2 linked regions of the Kluyveromyces lactis genome follow. The protein of the gene in region 2 interacts with the protein of the main gene of each other region in a biochemical or structural test. Links are inferred from orthologs where the notes say so. Each region holds a gene or a part of one and is shown on either strand. Other genes may lie near its edges.

What was found.
Region 1: the proteins of POL32 (region 2) and POL3 form a complex in vitro, tested with the Saccharomyces cerevisiae proteins (3 studies listed by BioGRID). The link is inferred for Kluyveromyces lactis from reciprocal best matches to the Saccharomyces cerevisiae genes POL32 and POL3.

The regions. Positions count from the first base shown.
Region 1 is NC_006041.1:149,741-156,786, reverse strand, and holds POL3 (DNA-directed DNA polymerase delta POL3), read left to right. Parts: upstream 1-2,466; coding exon 2,467-5,772; downstream 5,773-7,046. Other genes in the region: aminophospholipid-translocating P4-type ATPase DNF3, read left to right, coding at 1-812; type I HSP40 co-chaperone HLJ1, read right to left, coding at 1,004-1,699; serine/threonine protein kinase DUN1, read right to left, coding at 5,827-7,046.
Region 2 is NC_006041.1:1,995,517-1,999,901, forward strand, and holds POL32 (DNA polymerase delta subunit POL32), read left to right. Parts: upstream 1-2,670; coding exon 2,671-3,840; downstream 3,841-4,385. Other genes in the region: KLLA0_E22397g (uncharacterized protein), read left to right, coding at 1,377-2,255. UniProt on the Saccharomyces cerevisiae protein: DNA polymerase delta (DNA polymerase III) participates in chromosomal DNA replication.

The DNA.
Region 1 (7,046 bases), about 1.8 Mb from region 2:
AAGCATTCAACTTAAAAATTTTCCTTGTGTGGATGCTTACCGCTGCAGGGATATCAGTGCTTATTACATTTTTGAATTTTGAAATTTGGGGTTTCACAGCACAATCAGATAATTCCATATATCCAATTGGGGTTATAAACTTCACGTCAATATGTTTCTTGATAAATGTGAAATGTCAGTTTATCGAAACAAGAAACAGAAATTGGCTAGCATTTGCCTCTTTACTAATATCTTGTATCGGTTGGATATTGTGGTGTTGCCTATTACCTGGAATTTATGGCGAAAATGCGATATATGATGTTCTAATTGGTCTTTATCACCAGTTCGGAAGAGATATTACTTGGTGGGCCAGCTGTTTGATTTTGATTATGTTCCCTATGATGATAGATATCGTATGTCAAACATTCCGTGCGATGATATGGCCAACTGATGGTGATATTTTTGCAGAATTGGAGCAGAAAGATGACATCCGGAAAAAATTGGAATTTGCTGCACACAGGGAGTTGCATCAGAGCTGGTCTTTCCAAAAGGATCCAAGTAGTGTCAAGAAATATGCTATGAAAGCAGTAAATTTCAAAAAGAATGGTGCTGAAGATTCAAATTATAATACAAATGATAGATACGATATAAAAGACTTTGATACGGAAGAATACGAAATGCTACCCAGTGGTAAACTCATCCATAAGAAGCAGGTGACCAAAAAGAGTGTCAAATCGAAGTTAGGCAAAAAACTAAGATTTAAACTCAATTCTAAACCAGATGATTTTGAAATAAAACAAATAATTGAAAACAGAATGAGGGATCTCGAATGAACCGATACTCTTTACCAGGATATCCACCCTTTCTAAAGTTTCCGATGCGCTACGTTGAATAAGTTCTGTTAAATAGTAAGTTTGTAATATACATCGATAGAATTCTTTAATCATGTTTTACTATCTTTTTTATTGCTATGTGCTTTCTCCGGACTTCCGTTTATTTGGTCGTTTAATTTAAGAGGTATCAATCAGCCTAATAACAACCTTTCTAATAAGTTCAATAGAATGATGACTATGAATGGCGCTATGAGCATCATGAGTTGTGTATTCGGTTCCTCTTTCCTTTCTGCGGAGTTATCATTATGACGCGGCTGAGTACGACGAGCTCTTCTTCCGAACGGGGAATCATAATTCGTATACACTTTGAAGCCACCAGGGCCTCCAAATGAGTAAGTAGCGCCTCCTGCATTTCCAAATGGTCCACCGAACGGCCCCCCGAATGGATGCCCGCCAAACTGTCCGCCTGGACCACCACCTCTGAACAAGAATTCAAATATATCTTCTGGTGAACCACCGAATGGTTCACCAAATCCAGCATTCCCACGGAATCGTGGCCCCCCTGCTGCCGCCGCAGAGCTACCTCCTCTATACGATTCCTGTGCCGCAGCTCTGTCATCAGGATCATGGCCCAGCTGGTCGAAAATCCTCCGTTTAGAATCGTCTGATAGCACTTCGAATGCTCTATTTATCTTTTTGAACGCCTCGCTGGCCCTTGGATGTCTGTTCTTGTCTGGGTGTAATTTGATCGCCAGTTTCCTATATGCCTTTTTTATATCGCTCTCTGACGCTGACTTCCCAACTTTCAACATCTCATAGAACTCATGCTTATCCTTCGAAAGAATGTCAAGCGTTATCCGCTCCTGTTCTTCTGTGTATTCTGACATTTCCTAAATCAAACTCTGATTAATTGCAACTTCAAGATATCTCTCAATTAGCTAAAAAAAATTCGCAAAACTCACCGCTGGTCTATCACCTGTGGACTTATCACTGCAGATAGATTGTCTATCTCTTGGTAATATGTCTTCTTTCCTCTTATATGTATATATCCAGGGCAGAAAAAGTGAACCCAACAAAAAACCAACTGTTATATCTGATATAAACCGACTTTCTTTCTCTTGCTTCTCTATACTAACCCAGAATCCGTATCAAAGAATAGCTGAAGCTACAGGCCATTAGCTGCTTCGTTTGCGACAGTACTCCAGAACCAGTTTATCTCAGTTGGTCTATCAGTTCTTCAGCACTGTATTTTAATTCAAAAAAACCGTTAATCAGTATTTCATGTATGTGTGAACATTTTTCAAAATTCTTTTTTCTCTTTCTTGCCTTCCACAATGTGAAAAGCAGGAATTAGACCGCCAGCTGAATCGGAAAAACATCGTGTCACGTGGTCAAATTCTTGTCACGTGCCCATGTTTTCACGTGATATGCCATTCCCCAAAATTTCTTAAAAAAAGTTATTTTGACGCGTTCTGCTTGCTCATCACTTAAATATGATTCAAATATACCATCAGCAAATAAGTTATATACGCATCCAGGTAGCAAAGCAGAGAGGGATAGGATATAGAAGGTGGTTCTGGTCTCTGTAACAAGAAGTATTTGAGGAAACGGTTCTTCTGTGTATTGGGAAAGAAACCGAGACAGAAAGAGGGAAATGACCGTTGGTATTACGAGAGCTCGCGAAGTGGAAACGCTTGAGGATGCGTTCCAAGATATCAAGAAACAGAGGACCCAATCGTTTGATCGATCAGCGTTGAGCGAACCAGTATCCACAATAGAAATAATTCCTACTGACAAGTTCAAGAAACAGAACGTTTTAGGGTACAAGTCTAGTAAAGTTAATGATACGGTGGGGAAAGGTAACCCTACAGCTTTTGAGGAGGAACTTTCGCTTATGGATCATGAACTGGTGGAAAAGACAGAGTGTGGTCAGAGTAAAGTATGGTCTAGGGTACCTATTCCAGCGGATTTCAATGCAAAGACGAGCGATATTTCATTTCAACAATTGGATGCAGAGCAAGCGATGCTACCTGGTCAATACGATTCTAATACGAATATTGTCATAAGATTTTTTGGGGTCACTGACAAGGGTAATTCTATACTGTGTAACGTGACGGGGTTCAAACATTATCTTTACGTTCCTGCGCCCCTGGGTTTCCATCAGGAAAATATTTTGACACTTCAGCAGTACCTAAACGAGCATTATGAGAATAATGTGGATTCTATTAAGATTGTTCCAAAGCAAAGTATATGGGGGTTTTCAGGAGATGCAAAGATTCCGTTCTTACAGATATTTGTGAAGAACCCCAACCTGCTGAATAAGATTAGGACAGGTTTTGAGAAGGGATACATTCAGCCGAACGATAAATGGTTTGTTGGTGGTTGTACAACATACGACAACATTGCTTTCCCACTCCGGCTGATGATCGATTGTGGGATTGTAGGAATGTCCTGGATTACTTTACCCGCTAGTAAGTATCAATTGGTTCCAGTTAACCAACGAATCTCCACATGCCAGTTTGAAGTCAATATAAACTATAAGGATTTGATTGCACATCCTGCAGAAGGTGAATGGTCCCATAACGCTCCGCTAAGAATCATGTCTTTCGATATTGAATGTGCTGGTAGGCCCGGTGTCTTTCCAGAACCTGAACACGATTCTGTGATACAGATAGCTAATGTTGTTAGTATCTCGGGTGCTGCCAAACCTTTCATTAGAAATGTCTTCACCGTGAACTCATGCTCTCCCATTACCGGATCTCAGATATTTGAACATGATAAAGAATCAGATATGTTGGAACATTGGCGTGATTTTATTGTTGAAGTAGATCCCGATGTTGTTATAGGTTATAACACCACTAATTTCGATTTCCCGTATTTGATTGATAGGGCGGCTGCATTGGGGGTACAGTCATTCCCATATTTCGGAAGATTATCAAACGTAAAACAAGAAGTCAAATCATCTACTTTTTCGTCCAAAGCTTACGGTACCCGTGAATCCAAGAACATCAACATTGATGGACGTTTACAATTGGATTTACTGCAATTTGTGCAAAGAGAGTATAAATTGAGATCTTACACATTGAACGCGGTGTCTGCTCATTTCTTAGGTGAACAGAAAGAGGACGTTCATCACAGTATTATCACGACTTTACAGAATGGAGACAGTGAGACAAGGAGAAGATTAGCGGTTTACTGTTTGAAAGATGCGTATCTTCCGCTGAGACTTATGGAAAAACTCATGGCATTGGTTAACTATACGGAAATGTCAAGAGTCACTGGTGTTCCGTTCATGTATTTACTTGCTCGTGGTCAACAGATCAAAGTTATCTCACAGCTTTTCAGAAAGTGTCTGCAAATTCAAACAGTAATTCCAAACATGAGTTCACAAGGTTCGGATGAGCAATATGAAGGTGCGACCGTTATTGAACCGAAGAGAGGATATTATGACGTTCCTATTGCAACGTTGGATTTCAGTTCCCTATATCCAAGTATTATGATGGCCCATAATCTTTGTTATACTACATTGTGTGATAGAGCAACAGTCCAGAGACTTAATCTCAAACTTGATGAAGATTATATTGTAACTCCAAACAATGACATTTTCGTCACTTCGAAAGTTAGGCGTGGTGTTTTACCGGAAATTTTGGAAGAATTGATTGGGGCCAGAAAGAAGGCCAAATTTGATTTAAAGAATGAAACGGACCCCTTCAAAAGAGATGTTCTTAATGGTAGGCAATTAGCTTTAAAAATCTCGGCAAACTCTGTGTATGGTTTTACAGGGGCCACTGTTGGAAAGTTACCATGCCTAGCCATTTCTTCCTCTGTCACTTCTTTCGGTCGTACCATGATCGAAACTACAAAGAACGCCGTGGAAAATAAATACTGTATCAAAAATGGTGCATCTCATGATGCTGTTGTTGTCTACGGTGATACTGATTCTGTCATGGTCAAATTTGGTACCACAGATTTAGAAGAATCTATGAAACTTGGTGCTGAGGCTGCTGCATATGTTTCATCTCTGTTCAAGGACCCTATCAAACTTGAATTTGAGAAAGTTTACTTTCCCTATCTATTGATTAACAAAAAGAGGTACGCAGGTCTCTATTGGACTAATCCAAAAAAATATGACAAACTCGACCAGAAGGGTTTGGCCTCTGTTAGAAGAGACTCATGTCCTCTTGTCTCAATTGTTATGAACAAGGTCTTGAAGAAGATATTGATTGGTAGAAATGTAGATGGTGCTATGCAGTTTATCCGAGAAACTATCGATGATATTTTGCAAAATCGTTGTGATATCTCTAAATTGATCATTTCCAAAACATTGGCACCAAATTATACGAATCCGCAACCACATGCTGTGCTTGCTGAACGCATGAAAAAGAGAGACGGTGTCGGTCCAAATGTCGGTGACCGTGTAGATTATGTTATAATCGGTGGGGGTGATAAACTTTTTAATAGAGCAGAAGACCCGCTGTATGTGCTTGAACAGAACCTCCAGCTAGATTCTATCTATTATTTGAGTAATCAACTACAAAATCCAATTATAAGTATTATTGCTCCTATCATCGGTGAGAAACAAGCAAATTCGATGTTTATTGTCAAATCCATCAAACGTCAAAGTGGGCCAGTTGGGGCAGCCTCGAAACAAAAAGGTGGCTTGATGAGTTTTGTTAAAAAGGTCGATACTTGTAAGAGTTGCAAGCGCGTCCTCCGTAAAAATGAAGGGCCGTTATGCAATGACTGCTTATCTAGATCAGGAGAATTATATATGGAGGCCCTGTATGACGTAAGAACGCTAGAGGAACGTTTTTCGAGACTATGGACGCAATGTCAGCGCTGCTCAGGATCATTACACAACGAGGTTCTATGCTCTAATAAAAATTGTGATATATTTTACATGAGAGTTAAGGCAAAGAAAGAACTTCAAGAGAAAGTGATAGAATTAAGTAAATGGTAACATTTTTGGGATCTGTCTAGTGTAAATCTTTCAGGTACATAACGAACACATTATTTATTTTTGAAGATTAGATAATTCAGAGAAGGTTTTTGGTAGTCTACCTGGCTCTAACTGAGATCTTCTTTCATTACCCATCGTGACTTCAGCGTTATTGCTGGTGAACCATGGATGCGTAAGTGCGTCATTTACAGAGAACCTGCTTGCGGGATTCACAACTAGTAGATTAGAAATTAAGTGTAAGACAGAATCATCGATATTGTCCCAATACGGTGAGTAAAATGCAAACTTTCCTTGCAATATCTGCTCTTTCATACTAGGTGGGGCTAGCTGTTCACTGAATGGTGGAAATCCACACAAACAAACATATAGAAGAACGCCAGCACTCCACATATCTACTCTGGATGTATACCCTGTTTTGACTAAAACTTCAGGAGCAACGTAAGAAGGTGTTCCACATAGTGTATTGGTAAACTTCATTTCACCGGTGAATTTCGCCAACCCAAAATCTGCTATTTTAACTTGTATATCTAATTCGTCGTCATCCCAGGGCCCTAAAGCAATTTCTTCTGGGGAACGTCTTTTACTTATACTCAAGAGAATATTTTCAGGTTTGATATCTCTGTGAATGATATTTCTACTATGCAAGTATTTCAACCCATTTAGTAATTGCCTAAACAAAGCTTTAGTCTCATCCTCCCGAAGGTTATTTTTTCGAACAATCCTTTCAAACAATTCGCCATCATTGATCTTTTCAAGCACCAAATACGTTTGAATCTGTGTTTTGCTGACCGGTTCAACAAATCTATCTATGAGTTTAACTATATTCGGATGTTGGATAGATAGAAGGATCTTAGTCTCTTCTGTGAATTTTTTTGTTCTTTTGTCATCGTCATTTTGTTGAGGATGGAATATCTTTACCGCGACGGTCTCACCAGTTTCCTTATTCCTAGCCTCCTTGACAATCGCGTAATGGCCAGTTCCTAATTCTTTCCCAGCTAAGTATTTGTCGAAAAAGGATCTGGGCTGCTCCCTTGTTCTTGATAGTTTCTTGGTTGTATTTTGACTACTGAATAAAGGTTTTCTGAAAACCCCATCATAATCGCTGTTTTGCGTAGTTTGTGAAATTTGAGTGGCTGTTGTTTGACTTAGTCCATTTTCTGTAAGTGTAGCATATTTGAAAAGATATGAACAGCTTTTCCCGAATACTATTTTATCACCATTCTTTAAAACATAGTCTTTTCTGATGAGCCTATCACCGTTCACAAACGTTCCAT
Region 2 (4,385 bases):
AATGCAAGTAAACGATACATAGATAAATGCGAGATAAACTGAAAAATTTCAAATGTAGAAACTCGTTCCATAAACTTTGTTACCCGACTACAAGCTGCTTATCTAATATTTCTCGTCACCCGGATAAACTTCTTGTTTTCTCATTTCTGGAGGTTTTAGTGCCCATGGGTAATCAGTATAACAACCACGAACACAAAAAAGAAAATGAACACAAACAAAAAACTGTTTCCCTGCCCGCGCAATCTGCAATCTGTTTGGTTTTATTAACGAATATTCAAATCCATGCTCGCTATTTTAGCTTATTTTTTTTTATTTTTTTATTTTCATTTTTGAGTAGTAATTACTCCCTTAGCACACTGTAATTTACCCCAGGTTTAAAGCCTGGCATAGTGGAATACAGAAAGGGGCGATTCAAAAGAGCGAGCAACTGACCGTTTTTTCTTCTGATCTCGGCTGGTTATTTCTTAGTGCTCATTGTTTCAAACACCATCCAAGGCCCATGTGTAGTGTGGGTTCATTGGTGGGAATATGTACGATTCCCCTGGAACTATTGTAAGGGCTGCCTGTTTCGACCGATACATAGCCTAGCTTTTAGTTTTTCCGTTTTCTTTTTTTCTTGCTTCCGTTTCTCCTTTCTTTCTTGCGGATTCTTCCCTCCCCACATTATTGAAACCTAATCTGAATCGGCACAGTATGAGCTAGTACATTGTAGGCCGATTCAGTCCCAAATTCGAGCAAGCTCTTCCTTGTTGTGGAAATCTGGGATTTTCTTTTTTTCCTTTTCTTTATTTGTCGACCTTGAAGTTTCACCGGTTTCAAAAGAAAAAAGATGACACCGAGGCTATTTTTTTTTTTTTTTTTTTTTGGATTTCCCGCCGCTTGCAGGTACAACGGCTTCTGTGGGAAAACACTGATCAAGAAGCTGAGTCGAGGTGATGTATGTTTAGGGATCCGTATTGATTGCTTGGAAAAAAAATACATCGGGGCAGTAATAAAGGAAGGACACTGGCTTGAGGAATCAAATAGATGACTTGTCCCTCAGTTGCATTACACATACTTGTACGGTATATATGTGTGCATGTGTGGGGGGTGGGTGGAAAGGCACAAAGCAAGGTAGCTTTTTTTTTTTTTGATTTGATTCCTGAGATGTTTGTATGTTCTAAACCATATAATTTTTCAAGTGAAATACTTCTAAGTTTATCCGAAGAAACGAAAATACAAATTATGCATATATAAATAATTGTAACTTTTTAGTTTCAACCCTATTGCTGCTCCAATCTTGCTTGCAATATGCTTTATTCCCTCAATTGGGTTCATAATTGGGAAATTTGAACAAGCGAAATCCACACTATCAATTAACCTCATCAGACACAGATATGTCATTCCAAAGTTTCATCAAGACTCCAACTGAAGACACCGTCGTTCCACAAGCTCCTCCAACGGAACAGTACCCACAAGGTGTCAATTACCTCAATTTGTTCAGTCAAAAGGGCAAATTGACCGTTATTACTGGTGGTGCTGGTGCCATTGGTGGCGCTCTATGTGAGGGTTTCGCTTCTTGTGGTTCAGATGTCATTATTTTGGACAGAACCTTCCAACCAGAACTTTCCGTCCATTTGAGCAAGACTTACGGGATTGAATCCAAGTCATACCAAGTAGATATTACCAACGCTGACGACGTTAAATTTGTCTTTGAAAGAATCTTGGAAGATTTCCCAGGTCGTGCAATTAACACATTCATTGCTAACGCAGGTATTGCCTGGACTAACGGTTCTATCTTGAACGATGGTTCCACCCCAGAAATGTGGCGCAGAGTCATGGACGTTAACGTCCAAGGTACTTACCACTGTAGCAGGTACGCTGCTGAAGTATTCAAGAACCAAGGCCACGGTAATTTGATCTTGACTGCTTCTATGTCTAGTTACATCAGTAACGTTCCAAACTACCAAACCTGTTACAACGCTTCTAAAGCTGCAGTAAGACACATGGCCAAGGGTTTCGCCGTCGAATTCTCTGGTTTGACCTCTCCAGCTGGTAAGATCAGATGTAACTCTGTATCACCAGGTTACACTGATACTCTGCTATCCTCCTTCGTTCCTACTGAACAACGTGCTCACTGGTGGGGTCTAACACCAGTGGGTCGTGAAGCTTTGCCACAAGAATTGGTCGGTGCTTACTTATACTTGGCTTCCGATGCTGCTTCTTACACCAACGGTTGTGATATCCAAGTTGACGGTGGTTATACCTGTGTTTGAATCCTGTTGTAGAAAAAGCTTCGTCAACACCTATTACTGATAATTGTCACTGCCTTTTCCCCTACATCATGCTCAAAATATTTCTGTTTAACCTAACTACATTAAAAATAGAGTTAAAACTAGAGTGGTTCCTTCTCTTTCACATACTATGTAATAATTTTATATACCCAATTCTTATATGGGGTGATCATTAGTATCATACATCGACCCTTTCACTACTATTGCGAAGCTTCCCCCCATTGAGCCTTAATGTCTAATTGTCAACACTTTGTTACGCGTAAACGGTGCTAACCAAAAAAAAAAAAGACGCAACTTCACTCAATCATCATTTAGTGCTATCTGCACAGAGCGATGAGAATTGAAGAGAGAGAATAATAAAAAGAGCAAGCAAGCTCGAGCTGATCATCATCGAAATATGGTAACAGCGATAGAGAATTTTATCACGCAGAAACTCATCAATGACTGTAAACCTGTAACATTTTTAGACTTGTGCGATGAGTTTTCGATAAATGTGAACAAAGCAAAGAATGAGATGGTACAGTACTATAGCACTACGAGACATGAGTCGATCCAATGCATTGTAGTATGTGTTTTGAAGCACAATGTAATACAAATGATTACGGATCCCGAGAAACTACCGGAAAAGGAAGACATAAAGGATTTCTTCATCTATGCGTTCAACCCACTGGAAACTATTGATTTGACAAATAGAGAAAGAACACACGTTACGATCAAGAACCCCTACAAGCTGCACAATCAAAATGGCACACGGCCCCAGACAAGCGATGGTATTGGAAGTGTAATTAACATAACCACCCAAGATGTGACTCAAAAAATGGTGGCCGGCCCCAAGAAAAAGTCTGAGGCAGAACCGGTCGTAACGAAGCAACGGGCAAAGACGTTCCCAGAAGTTGCTGTTACAAAACCTAAGAAACCAACTAAGAGTATGGGTCTAAAATCTACTGAACTTCTGGCCAGAATGAGAAGAGAAAGAGAGGAGAAGGAGAAGAACAGACAAGAGGAATTGGAAAGGAGGAAGCACCAGCAGCAGGATAAAAATCACGTCGTGGTAAGCCAAGAGAAACAAAAACAATTGGACCAACTGGCCTCGATGTTTGACGATGATGATGACGATGATTTAGCCCAATTCGATAAAAATTCTAAAAAGCGTGATAAGAAAGAGGAAAGCGAAGAAGAGGCTGAAGTAAACCACCCTGTAGCGATAGAATCAGTACCTTCACAAGAATCACAACCAGTAAATCTAGACCGCACTGTCACAAACTTAGAAGAACTACTTGACACGACGGTAGACGAATCCTTAATGGAACTATCTCAACCAGAAAAGGAAAAGGAAAAGGAAAAAGAAGAGCCAGTCCACGAATCGAAAGAACAGACCACATATATAGACGAAGATGGATACATGGTTACTAAGAGACCAGCTACAGAAACGAAGAAACCACCAAAGCCTGTGAAATCAGCGAAAACGGCAGAACCGTCAAAGAAACCAGCAACACCAGTCGAGAAAAAGAAGGCTCGCTCCAGTCAACGTACACTTGAGAGTTTTTTCGGTAAGAAAAAGGGATGAGTAAATTAACTTGTGTATTTATTCAAATAGTTTCAAATAGATTCGGATGATACAGACGATACAAACGCTGGCACTGGCACTGACACCTAGATAGAAATATACGGCGACTCACGTGACCCAAAACAAAACATTAACACGTGAATAAGTTACCCGAATACACCGTACGCAACGATGTGAACAGGCCACCACGTCCCCTTCTTTGTGCGATTTCTTCTATCAGAGAAAAGGGGTGGTTAATATCGTTTCAAACGATTTATCTTGCCCTTTCTATTGAGATTGAAATTTAAGAATTTTGGATTAACAAAGATTATAAGACAGAGGAAATGATTAACTACCACATTGCCAGACAGCTTGTACGGCAATAAATTAATTGGTGTTTCATTATACTTTATTAAAGAGTGAGTTCACAAAAGTTAGATCGCTATAGCTTTAGACTGGGTTTTGAAGATTATTGCTCAATCACTTATCGCCCGTTGAAAATCTTTCCTTTTTATTTTGGACCGATATTCCAAATTACTCTTTCAATTGAATATTATCATCGCATT